2 linked regions of the Drosophila melanogaster genome follow. The protein of the gene in region 1 binds, or shares a complex with, the protein of each later gene. Each region holds a gene or a part of one and is shown in the gene's direction. Other genes may lie near its edges. The genes, in order: Nelf-A and NELF-B.

Evidence for each region.
Region 2: Nelf-A (region 1) and NELF-B share a complex: the UniProt entries of both Drosophila melanogaster proteins name them as parts of the NELF complex.

Annotation. Positions count from the first base shown.
Region 1 is NT_033777.3:21,221,955-21,229,764, forward strand, and holds Nelf-A (negative elongation factor A), read left to right. Parts: upstream 1-1,749; 5' UTR 1,750-1,915; coding exon 1,916-2,125; intron 2,126-2,234; exon of another isoform or gene 2,235-2,635; intron 2,636-2,821; coding exon 2,822-3,076; intron 3,077-3,143; coding exon 3,144-4,550; intron 4,551-4,696; coding exon 4,697-5,860; intron 5,861-5,977; coding exon 5,978-6,409; intron 6,410-6,472; coding exon 6,473-6,628; intron 6,629-6,700; coding exon 6,701-6,832; coding exon of another isoform or gene 6,833-6,871; 3' UTR 6,872-7,558; downstream 7,559-7,810. Other genes in the region: Oga (O-GlcNAcase), read left to right, coding at 1-685; CG3337 (uncharacterized protein), read right to left, coding at 903-1,240, 1,303-1,579. UniProt on the Drosophila melanogaster protein: Essential component of the NELF complex, a complex that negatively regulates the elongation of transcription by RNA polymerase II. Has an essential role in postembryonic development.
Region 2 is NC_004354.4:7,725,496-7,730,407, reverse strand, and holds NELF-B (NELF-B), read left to right. Parts: upstream 1-2,046; 5' UTR 2,047-2,124; coding exon 2,125-2,256; intron 2,257-2,334; coding exon 2,335-3,633; intron 3,634-3,695; coding exon 3,696-4,049; 3' UTR 4,050-4,412; downstream 4,413-4,912. Other genes in the region: CG12155 (uncharacterized protein), read right to left, coding at 1-746, 1,034-1,217; hira, read right to left, coding at 4,663-4,912. UniProt on the Drosophila melanogaster protein: Essential component of the NELF complex, a complex that negatively regulates the elongation of transcription by RNA polymerase II.

The DNA of each region.
Region 1 (7,810 bases):
CACGGCCAACTACTATCTCTTGAGACCTTACTGCAATTCGGACGAACAGCAAGTCAACGATTTGTGCACTCGCCTGTATTTGCAGTGGCGGGGAGAGCTGGACGGAGGCAGGCACATTCCGTTCCCGCTGCCGGCGAATGTGCCAAACATTGTGGCGGATGGGCTGATCGGTGGATATCTCACCCTCAGTCCGCAACTGTGCATTGTGGCCTACGACGAGAGTAACCGTATCATTGGATATTCATGCGCCGCCCTGGATGTCAACATATTTCGACGCAACCTGGAGCTGTGCTGGTACACGGAACTGCGTGAGAAGTACTCTAGAGATATTTGTCCACTGGAGGGTGGCGAGGAGGTTGTACAGCTCGTCACCTCCCTTGTGGAGAGTTATCATGACAGCAGCGGTAACGGGGCTCTGGACCAGTGTCCCGTAGAGGTGAGCGGCTCCTTCCCTGCCGTGTTGATCTCCGGAACTTTGCGCGAAGCGGAGGAGCGCGACTCGGGAATAACCAAGCGGATGCTCACCGTACTTCTGGCCGCCCTGCGTGCGAACGGCTGCTTTGGTGCTCACGTTCGCGTTCCGCAACAAGATGTCGCCCAGGTGAACTTTTATTCCAGAATCGGTTTCGTGGATGTCTATCGCGAGGAGGCCACCAAGTGTATTTACATGGGTCGCCGTTTCTAGCGTAGCTGGTTGCCACCTTCACTGCCTCCACTTTTAATGTTCCTTCATCTTTGGTATTCCGGCTAGCGGTGCTAGCTACTCACGTCATGTCCTCGTCCTTTTTGTATTCCCTTGAGGTATAAAGTTTGTATAACTGACCAACCCTTCCAGCATTTATCGTAAGCATTGTTTTCTTACTGAGAAAAACAATAAAAATACCAATTTAATAAAACTTTTGCTAGCTTTTGTTCAGGTCGTAGAACCAGACGGTGTTTACTCCGTCCTCTATAATCTTCACGTGCTCTAGGCTGGGTAGTGGAAAGCGGCAGGCGATAATCTTGGTGTTGTGCGGACACTCAGCAATGAGTTTGTGTTCTAGATCTTGCATCATCTGCTCAACCCCAAAAATGACCACGAAGTTGTAGTCCTTTATATCGAACTTCCAGAGATCTCGCCGAAAAAATCTCGTCCGTTTGGAAACGCTGTGACGCAGCGCGGCCAGGCGCGAGTAGTAGACCAGCCATGGGTTTAGCTCCACGCCATCTGCTTTTAGAGCACCACAATGCTGTGCCGCAGCTGGAAAGAATTACATAAGTTATCTGCAATGTTTTTAAATGGACTAGGTGAAGCGTACTTACCCACTACAATCCGTCCGTCGCCGGATCCAATGTCCAGCAGTTTTCCGGCCGAATTCTTGGGCAGGAAGCTGAGAACGTTCTGTATTTGCTCGGTCGTCGCTGGCACATAAGGCAAGCAAATCCTCCGGAATGCAGGCGCCACAAAGGAGGCGCACACAATCGACAGACCGATACCTACTCCGCCCGTTGCTGCTATCAGGATCTTGCCGCCCGTGGACATGCCACTTTTCGGCGTCTTGGCAAGCGGATTCGGAGCAGATTCGTTGAGGAGTTCCATTTCTATTATCAGAAATTCATGTTTACCTCAATTGCTTAGTATTCAGCGATTATTTATCGATAGCTGGTAGCCCTGCAGGGGGCGCTGTTACAACGGCGTTTTGCACCACTGGACCGTGCACACTGTTTGACATGTGGCAACACTTTTTTCGTGCGTTTGATGTGTGCGTGCGCTTCCTATTACAATTTTTTCGAAGGATTTTTCGTGTGTCTTGTTGACGTGCAGCGCGGCAGAAAGTGAAAAACGCCATCAAATAGTGCCGTGCAACAGGGCGGGTCAACGTTTGGCATAAATTGCAGTGTGTGCCCCGCGTGCGGACAGGCGTAATTCGAAAAAATGGCGAACGTAAGGGACAGCGACACATCACTGTGGCTGCATAATAAACTGGGCACCTCGAACGACTCGTGGATAAACGGCTCCATCTGCTCGCAGCTGAACAAGGAGGTGCTGCGCAACATCAAGGAATGCTTCCCCGATCTGCAAACGCAGGTCAAACTGAAGCTCCTACTCAGCTTCCTTCACATCCCGCGCCGTCTGGTGGAGGAGGTAAATGAAATCCAATGAATTGAAATGGCGTTGGTGTATGGAAAAAGTACACCAGTGCATACGCACGCATACTGCGGCCCGCGCGCACACGTACACGGAGTACACTTACCGTTGTTGAAACAAAAAGTGCGGACAATTTTTAAATACTCGGAAAATCTCTTAGATCCCATCACCTGGCGGACCCCAAAGCACATTTCTTCGCCTTTTAACATTTCCCCCCCGGGCGATTTCGCGGGTTGGTGAAAATAAATATTAGCAACGTTTCCCGCCACTTCTGCTTTTGTGTACACATTTCTCTCTCTCCGACACTTGTGCGTGGATTTCTCTCCCGTGTGCCTCGGTGTGTTCATGTGTGAGTGGGCTGTTGTGGGTGGCCGCGGATTCATTTGTTTGTTGTGCCCTTCCCACAGAGCAATTCGAATTTTATCAGACGTTTGACATCGCAGTTAAAAGATACATTTGTATCTCCAGGCTGCTGAGCTGGTAGACCAAGTATAAATACAAATAACTATTGATTTTTTATTTGATTTGCAACGTGCCGTTATAGTGTAATTAAAATCTGTATTTAATCGATCATACCAGGACTACCAGATCGTAAATATTCATTGTATCTATTACCTGAAAGTGTATTTGAGCATCGAGTTGTCAATTTATTTATGCAACCCAACCCATTGTTGATTTGATTGCAATTTGCAGTGGAAGGCGGAACTTGAGGAGGTGATCGAGGTAGCCGGCCTGGATTCAGAGCTATGGGTTTCCATGCTGGCGGAGACGATGAAGACCTTTCCGGCGACCAGTTCGCTCAACACCGAGATCTCCGATTACGAGGACACGCGTCCCATCTTCATAGACATGGTCAACGACCTGCGCAAGCTGGTCACAAAGCATTCGGACCTCGGCATGCTGCCTCTGGAGTGCCAGTACCTAAATAAAAACGCACTGATCTCAGTGGTGGGTATAGACAAACTTACTAAATCTTACCTGTTTTGAACTAATAATTTTTTCTTGTTTAATTCAGGTGGGCCAGCAACCCGCTCCCGTCAAGCATTTTACGCTGAAGCGCAAGCCGAAGAGCGCCCAGTTGCGCACCGAATTGTTACACAAGTCAGCCGATGCGCAGTCCTCGCTGAAGAAGGCCTCGGCCCCCACAATACCGCTGCGATCGCGTGGCATGCCACGTAAGATGACAGACACTACCCCGCTGAAGGGAATCCCATCTCGCATGCCCACCACTGGGTTCCGTTCGGCCACCGTGCCGGGAAATGCCGCCCAGCGCCCCAATCTCAGTCGAACGCCTGCTGGACGCAAAGACGGTGGCATTAAACTGATCGAATTCACCGAACAGCCCTTGGGTTATGCGGCGGCTAAGAAGCGAAAGCGCGAGCAGCAACTGGAAGAGCAGCAAAAGAAGCAGGAGCAGAAACAGCAACAGGCAGCTGCAGCGGCAGCTGCGGCCGCCACAGCAGCGGCAAGCAATGCTGGTGACAGCTCACCAACGGACGCGGCGACTGCCAGTGGAGGCGAAACACCCGTCACGCCCACGTCAGCTAACAACAGCTTCGAAATCAAAATGGAACCGCAGCAACTCAACCAGAGCGCTGGAAGCCTGGAAGAGCCGCAAGACGATGAGATGTCTGGCAAAGCGAATATGGAATGCGATATCGAGACGCCGGAGTACGCTACAGCCACGCTGGACTTTGCCCAGGCCACTTCGACGTCCGTGGCGGATGGTCAACCGGGAAAACCAGCAGTAGAAACGAAGCTGAAGACGCCGCGAACTCCGAAATCCGCAGCAAAACTGAACAACAACAACAACAACAACAACAACAACAGCTTCAATCACACCCCAAAACGAATCAAGCAGGAAATAGAGATCAAGAGCGAGGAGATCATAGTACCCGCCAGCATCAAACTCGAAAAGATCGAAACTTCACCGTCGACCCAACGCGTCAGTATCCAGCAACAGCCGCCTAGTTTGGTGCAGCGCACCCCGCACCTGCTTATCCGCAGTTCGCCGCAGAAGCGGCAGAACAACGGGGCAACCACGAGTGCAGGCACAACCACAACCACTGTGGGCAATACCACCATCAAGATGGAGAAGCTGGACATCAAGCCAATGATACGCGCCACCGGTGTCTCGCCTTCGACGAGTGCGGGCACTACGACTACACTTCTTACCCCGCAGCAACTGCGTCAGGCGGCCAATCCGTTGGCCAATCTGCCCAACAATATCTCCGTGAAGATAACCTCTGCCAAGGCGAAAGCGGCAGCTGCAGCAGCGGCAACATCCAGTGGCAGCCAGACTCAGTCGCAGCAGCCGCAAACGTTGCAGGTTCAGCAGGCGCCTCAGCAGTCGCATCCCCCGCTTTTGATTAACAGCTCCACACCCGTGATCTTGGCGTCCTCGCCCAGCGCTCAGAGAGCGGTAAGTATAAAATTATGCGTAGCTCTATTGGAGAACTTTTAGTTAGGAATTTCTTTAATTTTCCTGGACAAATATTTGAAATTCTATCACCTGCCATAATGAAACTTAGTCCCTCTTTGCTAATTAACTTAATTCTTCGGTTGCAGAAGGCTTTGGCTTTGCCTAGTAGCAGTACCTCCGCCACAACTACCACGACGATACCGTCGCAAGCCATAAAGACGATGCCACTGAGCCAGCTGAAGACGGCTACCAACAGCGGACCAGTGATCATATCGCAGACTATTATCCAGCCGGCAAAGCGAGCCCAACAACAGGCTGGAACCTCCAGTGCAGCGGCCGCTTCGCAACAGCAGCAGCAACAACAGTCGCAGCAGCAATTGTTACACCAGCAAATCCAGCAGCAGACCCAACAGCAGGCGCAGTTACCACAGCAGCCTCAGCAGCAACAGACGCAGTATATTCTAGCCACACCCCAGCAGCAACCGCAACAAATTCAACAGCAGCAACAACAGCAACAGCCCATTTTGCCAACGCTTACCTCGTTCTCACACAGTCGGCCTATGCCGCAGACTACGACGCTTTACCAAGCCACTACTCCTAGCGGAAGCGGTCAGACGCCGACCAAGATTTTGCTAAAGACATCGGGCTCTTCAAGCGTGGTGATGACGCCTCTGCGCCAAGCGCAGCCGCAACAGGCCACCGCTGTGGTGTCGTCGAATCCTCCGCCATTGGTGGCCACTTCGGCGGCAGTAGTTTCCCCGGGTCAGACAACCCTGAACATTCAGAATGTGCAGCTACCCAATCGACCAGTGACCATCCAACCAGCCTCCCAAGCCGCCCAGCAGCAGCATATGCAGGCCCAGTTGCAGCAGCAGCAACCGCATCCACAGCACACGATCGTTGCCAATACGACGGCCACGCAGCAGCCCAAGTTGTCTCAGGTTCTAATGCAGCCAACTGCAGCAGTTGGCACCAGTGGTGTATCCGCTCTGAACGTATCCCCTACGTCCGGAAAGAACAAGACCATCATACTCACCCAGAAGGGCGTTATACTGCGCAACATTGGCGGCGATATGTACCAGCAAATACCAATCAGCAATGTGGGCAACATGCAGGGACTCGGAGGCACCACGCTGATGACAACCACAGCTGGGCCGCCGAGTCTGGTGAAGACAACACCCTCGAGCGGTGTACAGTTGCAGCAGCAACAGTCTGGAAAGCAGATCCTGCCCACTCTCATACCAACCAGCTCGCTTGGAGGACAGCACGTTATTGTGCAGCAGCAGCAACCCACCAATGTCATCGGGAATGTAAGTGTATAAATTATGTTTTGCCAAACATTATTGGCAATAGAAATCGTAAATCTCTTTTCCCCACGTCCACTATGTTGCTATATGTAAAAATCTAACCACATTTGTATCTATCAGTCCCAACAGCAGACCATCATTCGGCCCGTTATGACCAACGTGGGCGGAGGCTTGACCACGCTGCCGCAGGGCCTGACGCTAATTCAACGGCCGGGCCAGCAGCCGCAGCTGGTGCAGGTGCAGGCGGCGCCGGGCAGCACGCAGCGCACGATTATTACCCAATCGAACACGGCGGCGGCGGCGTCGCAACAGCAGCCGCGCCAGCAGCAGCAACAAATCCTGGTCCAACACAAGCCGGCTCCGACCCTGCAGCAGCGTTTGGTCACCTCCACCACCAGCGGTGGACAGGGACAGCAGGGAAATCCGAATGCGGGGCTCCCGCGTACCGTGCAGGTGCAGGTGCAAGCTCAGCAGCAGCAGCAACCACAGCAGCAGCAAGCTACGCAACAGCAATCGCAGCAGGCACCCCAGCGACGTGGACTCTCTCTATCGGTAACAACATTGCACATATTTCTTTAAAATTAGATTTCAATCCTGTCCTGTGGTTTCTTCTAGAACGAACACGTGCACAAGGCGCACGAAATGTTCCGCAAGGCAAATCGCGTCTCGCGACCTGACAAAGCCCTTATCCTTGGATTTATGGCGGGTCTGCGGGAAAACCCGCGCCCAAATAACGAAAACGTGCTGGTCATCAAGTTGGGCGAAACAGAGGTAAGGCTATTTGCGATTTATTTCAAGCTTCTGCCTTGGTTAATTCTCAATGCTTTATGTCAATTGTTACAGGAAAAAGTACAACAGGACAACGGCCACACGGCACTGTGCCTGGTTGAGTCACACATCCGGCTGGACTACAACACCGGTGAGTGGAAGACATTCCAAAACTACAGGCTGCAGGACCAGAGTGCCGCCTCATAGTCCACAAGGGTCATACGCATAGTTCGCAGCAACAAGTGAGCAGGGACAGCCAGGCTGCAACTGGTTTGTGCGTATATGGATTGTTGAATATGTATTTTAATTTGTCATCCGTTCTGCATGGGCTGCTTCGCTGCCGCCCCTAATTAGGCTATTATAAACCCCCTCTCTCCTAAAAACCCTCACCACAACCTCCCGCAGTCAGCAAGACGCCCTAAGAAATGCTGGATATAATGAAACTATTTTATAATTAAGATAATTTAGCTGTACAGTTGTTTAGAATGTAGTAAAGGCTAGCGCTTAAACATTTAGTAAACAGGCCCGTTCGTACATCCATAAAAACACCCATTCATCCAAGCACACTGGCATAATCACCTCTGGCTGAACGCTTCACTGGAGAGCAGTTGGCAAGGCGGATGGGCCAGAAGTGAGCGTTTGGACGGATCACATAGGCACACACACATGCCTCACACATGCATTTTAAAACTGCATATATATACCTAGCTTATGTAATTGCTGTCGAGTAAAAAGTGTGTAATTATCTTACCAAGCAGCATAAAATTTAGAGACGCTGATCGGCGCTCGTATTCATTAGAAATCTAATGAAAATATATTTAGTTTTAGATATATATGTATGAGTCGCAGCCACCACAGCAAAATTAACTTAAATCTTGAAATGTGTAATAGACAAACAATAAAACTAGCATATGTATTTATGGCTTAAATGTTAAAACATCTGCTCTTGTGCTTGATTATGGAAAATGTAGGTCATGCAAACGTCAACTCACTCGGATATTCAAACACTCGATCAATTGATCAATTTGGTTATCAAGTGGTCTGCGCCCAAGTGGAATTCTAAAGACCTATTGGCGTGGTATGTGATTGAATTTTGAAATTGGCTGTAAGAGCAGTTGTAATACCAATAATCATTGGGAAAATAATTCCTCTTATACAATGTATAAGATTGTACATTGAAATTCC
Region 2 (4,912 bases), on another chromosome or scaffold:
GGCACCGCTGGCCTCCTCGTACAGGCACACCTCTTCGTAGTCCACCTCGGCGCCGGTTGCCCCGTCCTCGTCCAGTTCGTGCTTCACAATATCCAGCTGACCGTCGTGGTCGACCACATCATCTTCGTCATCGACATCATCGACCACATCGTCATCGTGGGCAATCTGGGAGAGCTCAATGCTGGAGATGCTGCCGTCGTGCTGCGACTGATGATGATGGTGGTGGTGGTGGTGGTGCGGCTGGTGATGATGCTCCTGCTGGTGATGGCCATGATGATGGTGATGGTGGTGCTGCGATACAGTGTCATCCGAGACGCCCTCCTCGTAGGCGGTCAGGATGAAGGTTTCCGCCTCATCGCTGACCAGGGTGATCTGCGAGGTGCCGTGATGTGAGGAGAGCGTGGCGGTATCGTGATCCGATTGCCCGTCATCGTCCATCACCTCGTCGTCGTCATCGTCCACATGCTGTTTCAAATGCAGCATAGCTCCAATGGGCAATGTGGTACTATTCGCGCCTCCAATGCCTCCACCGGCGCCGGCAACCCCACTCGTCTCATAGGTGATCTGTGTGTTCCGGTGCGATTTCAGTTTCGGCTGGTACACCTTCGACAGGAAGTCCAGCTCCTTGGCGTAGCGCCACTTGGATAGCCGCCCTTCGATGTACTTGGGCGTGCGCAGACGGTACTGGTGGAAAGTGTCCCGCAGGTTCTTCCACTTACGACGCACCTCCTGCACCGTGTACTTGTCTGGAAGAAAGAAAGAGGTAGTATAAATATGAGCGGGGTTTCAAAGGAATCGTATTCCTTTTACAGATAATTGATACAAGCTAGAACCTCTTCAAAGGCATCACATTTATGAAAACGTTTCTAAGTAACGATGAAATTATGAGTTGTGTTATAGTAGCCGGCGCCAGAACACTAGCCTATCAATACAATATGCATGTGGTATTTAAAACCAACTTTAGCGGAAGCTTATATTAATTCTGGAAGAAGGCTAATAGTCGGACATGAAGCAGGCCATGACTAGCACTCACTTCCTATCTGCTGGGCCACCTCCTGCCATCCGTTGAGGACATCGGAGCGGCGTCGCTGGTTCGGCTGCAGTTTGTAGTTGTAGAGAACCGGATTCTGGCGCACCAGGTTGATCAGCGTAAGGATGTCGTCCGTGGGCGCGTTGTCCTTGTGGTAGCGCTTGCGCTCTTGCGTCGACGAGGACATGTTGCTTCAGCTTCTGTGGGTTTCCACTGTTGTGCTCTCCCAAATCCTGATGATCCTTATCCCGATACCAATGCTGCTCCTCACATTCAGGTGTTTTGTTTTTGTTTACCCACGAAAAGAGAGGCTTTCGTTCTCGTCGAAATGCACGCACAAACACATACACAAGCGCACTTGAACGGAGCCAAACACCAGCTTATGTAGGTGTAGGAACACGCACGCACACACTCTCGCACACTCGATGCAAAGGATAGCGACTGTGTGCAGCAGGATCTCCTTTGTAGTCGCTACGGGGCACGAATCTCGGCAAGAATCGAGACGCCTTGTCCTTGGCGTTCAGCTCCAATTGTGCGAATTTGACTGCACTTGATGCTCTTGCTTTGCTTTTGGCTGTTTTTGCTGTTGCTTATTTCGCGCTAGGGATGACACATCGCGGAATTGGCGTTCTCTTTCGCCGTCACTGAAAAGCAAAAGTCCGTTTCCCTGTATTTATAATCCTCAATTAAAAGTTACGTTCTTATACAATTAAGTCGTATGGGAATGATGTTCTAAGGCAAACTAATTAAAGGTTTTTATTTTTTGAGTTCAGTTTTTTTACCAACACTATTAGAAATTAGACTTATATTGTATTTGTGGCCCATATAATTTTTTTTTATTATCTTTATTAATTTTTGTAACATTTACCATTCTACCAATAATAATAATACAACTATTTGTTGGCAAAATAATATTAATAACTACATGTTAAACATACAAAGTTGGCTATTACAAGCCGTGCTGATACGTGCACTATCGATAACACCGCACATGTGCAAGCCTGCGCTTATTTTTTTGTCTCCTCGCTAGCAATAAAAAACAACACAATTGTGTAGCTTCGTGTCTTGTTTTGCTCAATTTGCCGACGAATTGCATGATAATGAGCACACCGGCGAAAAATAACAATGGAACTGGACTGGAGGACGTGAATATTCCGGGTCAGGCCTATCTGCGCGAGGCCCTGACCTCCTGCACTGATCCCTTGAAGGCCATCGAGAGTTTTCAGGTTTGTTTACGTTGCACCGAAAAATGGGCGCCAAAAGTTCGGTGGGCTTATTTATCCAAATATCACCTGCCTTTTTAGCTTGAGAATGGTGTATTGCTGCCTTCACTGCGCCCCATGTTGCCTTTACTCGATTTGCACGGCGTGCGTCGACTGGACTTTCATACCTCGCTGATGGAGGAGCTGCGCGACAAGCTGATAGCTCACATCAACGAGATGGGCCAAAAGGAGCCCCGGGAGCGGGACAAGAAGCTCAAGGAGCTGCTCGTTAAGAGCTTCCCCGTCGTTCGGGTGAAGTCGCTGCGGCCCGTGGTCATGGCCATATTGAGGAATACCCAGCACATCGATGACAAGTACCTCAAAATCCTTGTAAGGGATCGGGAACTGTATGCGGACACGGATACGGAAGTTAAGCGGCAGATATGGCGTGATAATCAATCGTTGTTTGGTGACGAGGTGTCGCCTCTCCTCTCACAATATATTCGCGAGAAGGAGCACATCCTGTTTGATCACACCAACTTGAACAATCTGTTCTTCCACCCAACGCCCAAGGTGCGAAGGCAGGGGGAAGTAGTCCAAAAGTTGGCCAACATGATTGGCACCAGTGTCAAGCTGTACGATATGGTGCTGCAGTTCCTGCGCACTCTATTCCTGCGCACCCGCAATGTTCACTATTGCACGCTGCGTGCAGAGCTACTGATGGCCTTACACGATCTCGAGGTGCAGGAGATCATCTCGATAGATCCCTGTCACAAGTTCACCTGGTGCCTGGACGCCTGCATAAGGGAGAAGAATGTGGACATTAAACGTTCACGGGAGCTCCAGGGATTTCTTGACAACATCAAGCGCGGTCAGGAGCAGGTTCTGGGCGATCTGTCCATGACTTTGTGCGATCCGTATGCCATCAACTTTTTGGCCACGTCGGCCATCAAGATATTGCATCACTTGATCAACAACGAGGGCATGCCGCGTGACAATCAGATACTCATCCTGTTGTTGAGAATGTTGGCCTTGGGCTTGAGTGCCTGGGTGATGATCGATTCGCAAGACTTTAAGGAGCCCAAACTTGATTGCCAGGTGGTCACCAAGTTTTTGCCCGCCCTCATGTCGTTAATGGTTGACGACCAGTGCCGCAGCTTGCACGCGAAACTACCGCCGGACGAGCGTGAATCTGCTCTGACCACCATCGAGCATTCGGGACCGGCACCGGATGCCGTGGAGGCGTACATTCAAGAGAGTTCCGTGGCCAGCATATTGGCCATGTACTATACGCTGCACACGGCGCGCCTGAAGGATCGCGTGGGCGTGTTGCGCGTCTTGGCCATTCTGTCCGCCTGCAAAGACGACCGCGCATATGAGGATCCCTTCCTGCACTCTCTGGTTAGCATTTATAGCTGCTTTTCTAATATTTACTTTTCTGACTCGATTGCTTACCTCTACAGATTGCCCTGCTCATCCCCATGAGCGAAGAGTTTGCCACGGAGGACTTCTGCACCACGCTCTTCGACGAGTTCATCTTTGCCGGACTGACGCGCGAGAATGTGACCTCTCGTCACATGCTGAAACTTTTGTGGTATGTGCACAATAAGCTGCCCGCCGGTCGTTTGGCCACATTGATGAAGGCTATGCAGCCGACGACGGCCCACAACGAGCACATCCACAAGTTGTACGAAATTCTGCAGGAGAGAATCGGCACCGGGGCGGCGGAGACGCCGGTCATTGAAGCGCCGCCCATGGAGTTTGATTCGCCGCTAAAGAGTGTGCCAACGCCAGGACCGCACTATAATGTCCAATAGCTAGAGGCACCGGCAGTCGCACCACCTGCGGCTGTCGTCGGATGATGATGGTTATTTGTGATGATGATGTTGATGTTGATGATGATGATCGGAGGCCATGTATGTGGCTACCTCATATACTTCTCTGGAGCAGCCGACCGGATGGCAATCCCCAATTAGCATGCTTGCGCAAATAATAATTCTACTGTTTAGACTAAACATAAAGCACTGCGACCGAGCAATCGGATATAGTTTACATATTTACAGAATGTATGGCTTTGTTGGCAGGCATCAATCAGTTGTCGCTGGCTATTATATATATTATATATTACTGTTACGCTAGTGTAACGATCGATTCTAGTACACAATATAGAGTACAAATCTAAGGCAATGTCTTTTAGTTTCATCAGGGTTTTTGAAAGAAATATTGGTTCCCGGTACCAGTTTCTGTAATCACATACTCAACTTTTAACTCATCTTTACTCAAATTTAATGATTTACATAACTGGAGTTTCTTACGGACATGGATAATTGAAAGATCCTAATAAATTTCGGTATAAAAGTTTTTTAACGCTTATAGCTTAGGGAAATACACACAATTTAGGAGGTTTATTAGGGATAGGAGTCTTTCGTCTCATGTCTGATCTGTTTTGGAACTGGAAACTGGAGCTGATCCCGCTACGGAAGCGGCCGGAGATGTGGAAGCAGCCCCACCGGACGTGGACGCTGGCGAAACTTCCACGGGAGAGGTATCCAACGGAGGTAGTGAAGATGAGGCCGACAAAATCTCATCATCTATGCAAACGGTGGGCGAGTCTAGAGTTTGAATCTCTGGCGAGAGACTAGGAGCTGGCTGTGGCACAGACAGCGATGACGTGGATGAT